2 linked regions of the Sus scrofa genome follow. The protein of the gene in region 1 purifies or fractionates together with the protein of each later gene. This does not show direct contact. Links are inferred from orthologs where the notes say so. Each region holds a gene or a part of one and is shown in the gene's direction. Other genes may lie near its edges. The genes, in order: TBCCD1 and PPP2R1A.

The links.
Region 2: the proteins of TBCCD1 (region 1) and PPP2R1A purify together in Homo sapiens (affinity purification with mass spectrometry; 4 studies listed by BioGRID and IntAct, counting the BioPlex papers as one, with this or other methods). This does not show direct contact. The link is inferred for Sus scrofa from reciprocal best matches to the Homo sapiens genes TBCCD1 and PPP2R1A.

The regions. Positions count from the first base shown.
Region 1 is NC_010455.5:124,377,607-124,381,421, reverse strand, and holds part of TBCCD1 (TBCC domain-containing protein 1), read left to right. Parts: intron 1-1,282; coding exon 1,283-1,438; intron 1,439-3,815. UniProt on the Homo sapiens protein: Plays a role in the regulation of centrosome and Golgi apparatus positioning, with consequences on cell shape and cell migration.
Region 2 is NC_010448.4:57,933,827-57,937,641, reverse strand, and holds part of PPP2R1A (serine/threonine-protein phosphatase 2A 65 kDa regulatory subunit A alpha isoform), read left to right. Parts: intron 1-3,118; coding exon 3,119-3,292; intron 3,293-3,588; coding exon 3,589-3,649; intron 3,650-3,815. UniProt on the Homo sapiens protein: The PR65 subunit of protein phosphatase 2A serves as a scaffolding molecule to coordinate the assembly of the catalytic subunit and a variable regulatory B subunit.

The DNA.
Region 1 (3,815 bases):
TTGGGTTAAGGATCCAGTGTTGACGCAAGCCGCAATGTAGGCTGGCAGCTACAGCTCTGATTTGACCCCTGGCCTGGGAACCTCCATATGCTGCGGGTGTGGCCCTAAAAAGAAAAGAAAAAGGAAAAAAAAAGGATTACATGGGATCTCTCTGTTCTTACAGCTCCGTGTGAATCTACAGTTACCTCAAAAAGTTTAATTAAGAAAGTAACAATTTAAAAAATATACAGATTCGTGAGGTTCCATGTTGACAGTTGATTGACTAGGCAGGTTTAGGTGATCCTGAGAATTGGCATTTTTAAGTTCCTTAGGCATAGCAATTTTTAGGCTGGTTGGGAATCAGGACGAGTATAGCTGTAGTCCAAGATGTACTGCTTCGCTTTTTTTGCCTCTCTTATATGTGTATGGGAAGGAGTATGTGAGGATAGTTGTGGGCTTCAAATACTGAGCTTCAGACCACACACTTTTTCCAATAAGAATTGACTTATAAACATTTCTCAGGTAAGTAGTATTTTTTTTAAGTCAAATACCCTTTTAAGAATTTGATAAAAACCTGAGGTTAGGTCTGCTCTCCCACAAAATGTATATACACCCAAAAATTACATACAATTTCAAGTGTTGCACTGATATTCTAAACTTTCTTGTTAAGTTTGTGATTAGGTTAAACTAATCTCTATGTCTTGTTTAAGTTTCCTTTTTCCTTTTTTTCATCTGTTTGTTCAATTACTAATTATTATTATTATTATTATTATTTTTGACTGTCCCGTAGCATATGGAGTTCCCCAGGCCAGGGATTAGATCCGAGCCACAGTTGTGACCTAAGCCACAGATGCAGCGGTGCTGGATCCATAACCCACTGTGCCAGTCCAGGGATCAAACCGACGTCCCAGCATTCCCAAGAGGCTGCCGATCCCCTTGCGCCACAGTGAGAACTCCAACTAAGATTTTTTTTTTTTAACTGTAATTTTAAACTTGTGAAATAATATACTTTAAAAAAATACATGCTTCATCCTTTCCACTTCATCTGTTTGAGAGAGAATGTCTATGGTCATACATGCTACATAGCTTTCTGAGAAGCTAAGAAATTTTACCAGTTTAATTAGTTTGAGAAACTCCTACATCTAGGTATCAGAGACATGCATATCAAATGCTAGCAACCTTTCTACATTTGTCTTCTTAGGATCAGCACACTGTTGGGTATTTACTATGTCTGCTTAGTTGTAGGCTAGTGGTTGATGTGGTTTTAGGACATGTGTTCATCATTTATTTTCTTCTTGGACAGCTTTCAGTGGACACCCTGCAGTTTCTGCTCTTCTTATATATACAGCAGTTAAACAAAGTCTCCCTGAGGACATCTTTGATTGGAGAAGAGTGGCCTAGTCCCAGACACAGATCTCAGTCTCCTGACCTGACTGAAAAATCCAGTTGTCATAATAAGGTACTGTTTAAATTATGGTCTCTTTCTTTAAAAGGGACAATTTGTGAGGGAGAAGGTTTGCCTTCATTAAAAGTTACTTTAAATTACTTATATAAGCCAGAGATTTGCTGGCATATTTTGTTTTGTTTTGCTTTTCACTTTTTTCCCTAATTATAAAACAAAATATGTGCAATCTTGGAAATCCCTGATGGCTCAGCAATTTAAGGATCTGGCATTGTCATTGCTGTGGCATGGGTTTGATCCCAGGTCTGAGAATTTCCACATGCTATATGCATGGCCCCCAAACAAACAAGAACAACAACAACAAAACCCCAAATATGTGCAATCTTAATCAAAATAGAGAAGCTACTTCACTTCCTTCAATAACACAAAAATCACTTAGATAATATCTGGGCAAATTATTCACTGTACTTCTGTTAGCATTCCCATTTTTGCAAATATTAATGCATTTGATTTCATATGAGTTGGGGCAAGTCAGTTCACTTCTCTTGCTGGGCTTCTTGACTCTAAACAGGGATGATAATGCCAATTTCTGAATAGCTGTGAGAATTCAGTAATGTATTAGCATGAGACTTGTTGCATAGTAAATACCTGTATATGGTGACTTTAGTTTGTGCTATAGCATGACTTCTCTCAGCATCTGATTGGACCGGGGATGGACACTTGACTAGAGTCACCCATTCCTAGTATGTATTTGAAATTTGTTGGATTTGAAATGATGATCTGGCTCAATCCATACCCCCAAAGACTGAAGAAAAGACCAGTTGTGATGGGTGTTTGTGCTGGTAGCTCATGTGGCATTGGGACCAGAATAGCTACCACATCCATCAGTGACCTGGAATTATGAGATTAGCAACTCAGAGGTAATCAGAGAAAAAGAAGAGAATGGAGCAGACATGCAGAAAGACCTGAGAGAGAACCAGGTTCAAGGTGGCCTCCAGGTCCAGTTCTGATGAGGCCTCCTTGTACTTCAGTCCGGGAGAGGACTATGTGTTCCTACAGTAAAATTTCCTTTTATTTGAATTAACCTGTATTGTCTGCTAGTGACAATTACCACCAGCTACCCAGGCTCTCTCTGTCACCACCCATACCTAGTTAGTTGTCAAGTCTTGCTGGTTCTGCCTCCAAAATAACTCTTTAATAATTTATCCCCTTTTTTGCTCTTATATAGGCCCTACTTTGTCACCCTGCTTTTTATCTGTAGTCCACCTACTACACTGGACTTTCTAAAATACAGACCGATTCTATCCATCTCCCGTCAAAACTCCATCAGTGAATTCTCATTGTAATCGTTGTTTTCATCTTGTACTCACCATGGGAGGGGGGAATGTAGCAAGAGGGAGGAAGAGCAGGTGAGGCCGTGGCAGCTCTACTTTAATATGTTCTTTGCCATCCAAATGAGAGTTTATTAAAAATAAAAAATGGTATGGCTGTTTACAAAATAGTCTGAAAGTCTCTGGCGCTCAAAATAAAGTCCAAATGTTTTAGTATTTCACCCAAGGCCTTTCATGAATGGTCGCTGCCTACCATTTTATTTTTTTAATTATTTTTTATATTTTATTTTATTTTGTTTTTTTGTCTTTTTAGGGCTGTACCCACGGCATATAGAAGTTCCCAGGCTAGGGGTCCAATCGGATCTGTAGCCTCTGGCCTACACCACAGCCACAGCCACGCCAGATCCAAGCCGCATCTGCGACCTACACTACAGCTCATGGCAACTCCAGATCCTTAACCCACTGAGCGAGGCCAGAGATCAAGATAGATACTCATAGGTACTAGTCAGATCCATTTCCACTGAGCCCAACAGGAACTCCCTGCCTACCATTTTAAATTCAACTGCCACTTCCAGCATACTTCCTACACCCTATTTAGAACTTCCATGTCTCTGAACACAGCAAGTCATTTTACTCCTATGGGCCTTTGGATGCTGTTGCCTAGGCCTGGAATGCTTTCTTTATCTGATCTGTTTGCATAACTGCCAACATCAATCAAGAATCTGTTCAGGGGTTCCCGTCATGGCGCAGTGGTTAACGAATCCGACTAGGAACCATGAGGTTGTGGGTTCGGTCCCTGCGCTTGCTCAGTGGGTTAACGATCCGGCGTTGCCGTGAGCTGTGGTGTAGGTCGCAGACATAGCTCGGATCCCGAGTTGCTGTGGCTCTGGCGTAGGCCGGTGGCTACAGCTCCGTTTGGACCCCTAGCCTAGGAACCTCCATATGCCGCGAGAGCGGCCCAAGAAATGGCAAAAAGACAAAAAAAAAAAAAAAAAAAAAGAATCTGTTCAAACTACACTCCGCTAAGATTTGTGTGCCCCAGATGGAGTTCTTTGTTCCTCTCATGCTGATAGAATTTAAAGATCTCTTCGGTAGGGATCTCA
Region 2 (3,815 bases), on another chromosome or scaffold:
GGGAAGAGGCCTGCTCACTGTTGAGAACACTTCCGCTCTTGGTCCCGGGCGTGAGAACCGAGGCCTCACTCAGCTGGGGGTCTCCAGGCAGTTCGGGAAGCCCATAGAAATGGTTGTACGTGCCCTTGAGTTCCCTCTAAGCTCACGTACGTGAACTTAGGTCTCTATCCAGTTGGTTTTCAGCTTCTTCAAGGAAGAAGTCTTGCTCTTGGTTGGCTCTGATGGGTGCACCCACCCATCCTGTGCGGAGGGAGGGGCGCCCACCTCCCGGCCCTGGCGTCTGACCGCGTCTGGGCCCTCCCGGCTTACTCGAATCATCTGTGCACTCCCGTGATCACCCAGCAGTAGACTCTGATACGTACGGAAGTATCTCACCCCCCAGCTGGGGGTGCAGATGGTGGCAGACATAGGAGATTCCCGCTGCGGAAATCTTCCTTTAGAGAAAGAGGGGAGGCTGAGAAGCTGTTGATTACCGCTGTGACGGTTGAGGCTCTTGTCCTCATTGGATACAGTGTCCTTTGCAGAAAAGGTAAAAATGTCTGTTTTATGTTCTTATGGACCAGTGTTTCACCAGCATTTGCAGCAGCTCTGTCTGGCGGAGGATGTGAAGGAATGTGCCTGGAAGCGAGGCAGGCGGATCACACGGGACTGTTCCTTCCCGCTCCCCGAGCCCTCGGCTTTAGGAAGAGCCGCACTGGGCCTGAGGAGGGAGGGAGGCGGCCTTGGCGCTGAGATGCTGCTTTAGCCATTAGACGAGCTGGCGGGAAACCGCTGTCTTTCATTCTATTTTTTTAATTAATTAATTTCTTTTTAATTAATTTTTTTTTGTCTTTTTGCCTTTTCTAGGGCTGCTCCTGCGGCATATGAAGGTTCCCAGGCTAGGGGTCGAATCGGAGCTGTAGCCGCCGGCCTACGCCGGAGCCACAGCAACGCGGGATCCGAGCCGCGTCTGCAACCTACACCACAGCTCACGGCAGCGCCGGATCGTTAATCCACTGAGCAAGGCCAGGGATTGAACCCGAAATCTCATGGTTCCTAGTCGGATTCGTTAACCACTGCGCCACGATGGGAACTCCCTTTCTTTCATTCTAAAGGAGACTCTTGGTGTTTTTGACGAAGGAAGAAGGGCCTCGCCTGCACTTCTCCAAGGGCCTGTCGGAGGGGCCTGTCACTGTGGAGCCAGCAGCTGAGGCTGTCCTATCCTCCGCCGCGGCCACTGCTCTCCGTTACTGCTCATGGGTCTTACCCCATGGCCACCCTTAGGTCCAAGATTTGCCCAACCATCCTCAGCTCAGAAGAGCTGTTCCACTCATGGTTGCTCTGGGTTACGGCGAAAGGATGCAGATGAGTATCAGCCAAGGGGAACGGTGCCTAAGAGGCCAGGTGCCAGTTTCCCTGGAACTCCCAGGGGAGTTGAGACTGGGTTCACTTCTCCCAGCGCCTGCGTGGGATGGCGTCCACGGAGGCTGCTGGCGAGCCTTGGTGTCCAGGGTTTTTACGGGGGCCTGGTCTGATCACATAGGCCTGGATGGGGCCGCACGCATGGCTGACCTTGGGTTACTCTGTCTCTAGCCACTGCAGAGGTCAGGCTGATGCCACATGGCCCCAGGTACCCAGCATAAATCACCTCGTCAGCATAATCTATCTGACATGGCCCGAGGCCCCCAAGTACACAAAGTAAACAAAAGACCCCGTTTTTTTGTTTTTTGTTTTTTTTAAATCAGGCTGGATGGTCCAGGTGCTGGTTGGGGCCGTCTTTTTTTTTTTTTTTTTTTTTTTTTTTGTCTTTTTGCCATTTCTTGGGCCACTCCCGCAGCATATGGAGGTTACCAGGCTAGGGGTCGAATCGGAGCTGTAGCTGCCAGCCTACGCCAGAGCCACAGCAGCTCAGGATCCGAGCTGTGTCTGCGACCTACACCACAGCTCACGGCAACACTGGATCCTTAACCCACTGAGTGAGGCCAGGGATTCAACCCGCAACCTCAAGGTTCCCAGTCAGATTTGATAACCACTGCTCCACGATGGGAACTCCCGGGGCCATCTTTTTTAACCTTTTACTGCACACTTGCTTATTTGGTGCATTGATGGATTTCAGCACTTGCTTCCTCGCCCCTCAGCTCCTGGAGGGAGACGTAGAATGAAGTAACCGTAGCGTCTTATCATCCAGGAAAGCGTGACCTGCAGAGAGGCGGTGCGACGTGATGGTTGTTTCGGTGCTTTTTCCTACAAGCCGCTTCGCATGATTATGGGGGTGCATGGGGTGCAGGGTCCTGGTGCCCTCAGGTGGAGCACTCCTGGGCGACCTTCCATATGCCACAGCACTGTGGAACAAAGAAGCAGTTTCCTTATTTGTAAAAGCAAAAATCCTTGGGTTTCTTTTGGTGAGCAGAAGCAGGTACAAGCAGAGGTCTCTCATCTACCCATAGTGGTGTAAAGGGAACGTTCGAGAAGCCGGGGATCCCTGTGTGTGTGCCCTTACTGTAGAGCAGAGCTCGAGATATTACTAGTCAGCTAGCGGTTCAGAAATTATTCTTTACTCCTTGGTTTCAGAAATGTGTTGAGCACCCTCTGTGGCCTAGAAACCTTGCTGAGTCCCAAGACATAAGGATAAGTGAGCCATGCTTCTTCTAGCAGAGCTCAGAGACTAGCAGGGAGAATAAAAGCAAGAGAAATGAGCAAAGCGTTAAGCTTCACGTCAAGGTCTTTGTGGATCAGACGCTGGCAGGTGGTTCCGTAGGCTCAGCCACCCTCTGGGATGAGGGGTGTTTCCATGTCAGAGACTGGTACCCGGAAAGGGCAGGTCCCTTGCCACAAGGCTCCCCGCTGGCAGACGGCGCAGCTGGGTACCATCTTGGCTGTTTTTCCAGGGCACCGGGCTTTGGCTCCACATTTCTCGTGCTGCTGTTGTGAGAGTTGAAAAGCTGCTCCACTCATGATCCATGTTGCTCCCTTTGCGGGGGCCTCTGATGCGGCCCCGGGGCCAGGAGCAGGTTGTGGGCAGTCATGCCCCGCCCTTGGGCGATGTGTGTTCGGCGAAGCTGGGCGGTGGAGCCCTCCCCCTGTCCCGGCTTCCGCTGGCGCACGGGGCCTTCCCTCAGAACCCCCTTCCTCTGCTCAGTGCCCGGAGGTGCGGCTCAACATCATCTCCAACCTGGACTGCGTCAATGAGGTGATTGGCATCCGGCAGCTGTCCCAGTCCCTGCTTCCCGCCATCGTGGAGCTGGCCGAGGATGCCAAGTGGCGGGTCCGGCTGGCCATCATTGAGTACATGCCACTGCTGGCCGGACAGCTGGTGAGCGCGGAGCCCAGGGCCGGGTGTACTGCCCAGGGGCGCTAGACTGTGGGTGCGGCTCTGGCGGGGAGCCTGGGCCGCGAGGGCTCCCTGGGAGGTGAGGGGTGTCAGGAGGCGGAGGAAAGTACCCAGGAGATAGGGCCTCACAAGATGGGTAGAGTGAGATGAGAACGAAGAACAGAGCCCCTCAGGTGAAGATGGGACATGTCCCAGCTGTTTGGGGGAGGGGGGGTTCCCTGGGGATCGCTGCCAACTCCCCAGGCGCCCTCAACCCCTTCCCGCCTGTTCTCCTGCAGGGGGTGGAGTTCTTTGATGAGAAGCTCAACTCCCTGTGCATGGCCTGGCTTGTGGATCACGGTGAGTCTGGGCGGGGGCTCTGGGAAGGCTGTGCGGGCGCATTGGCCGGGGCAGGTGTGTGTCCCGTGGGTGCGGGGGAGGCTGGAGCCCCTCTCCCCGGATGCTCACGAGGACAGCTCCCTTGCGTGTTGGCGTCCTGGAGAAGTATGCGGAGGGGGCGGCCACG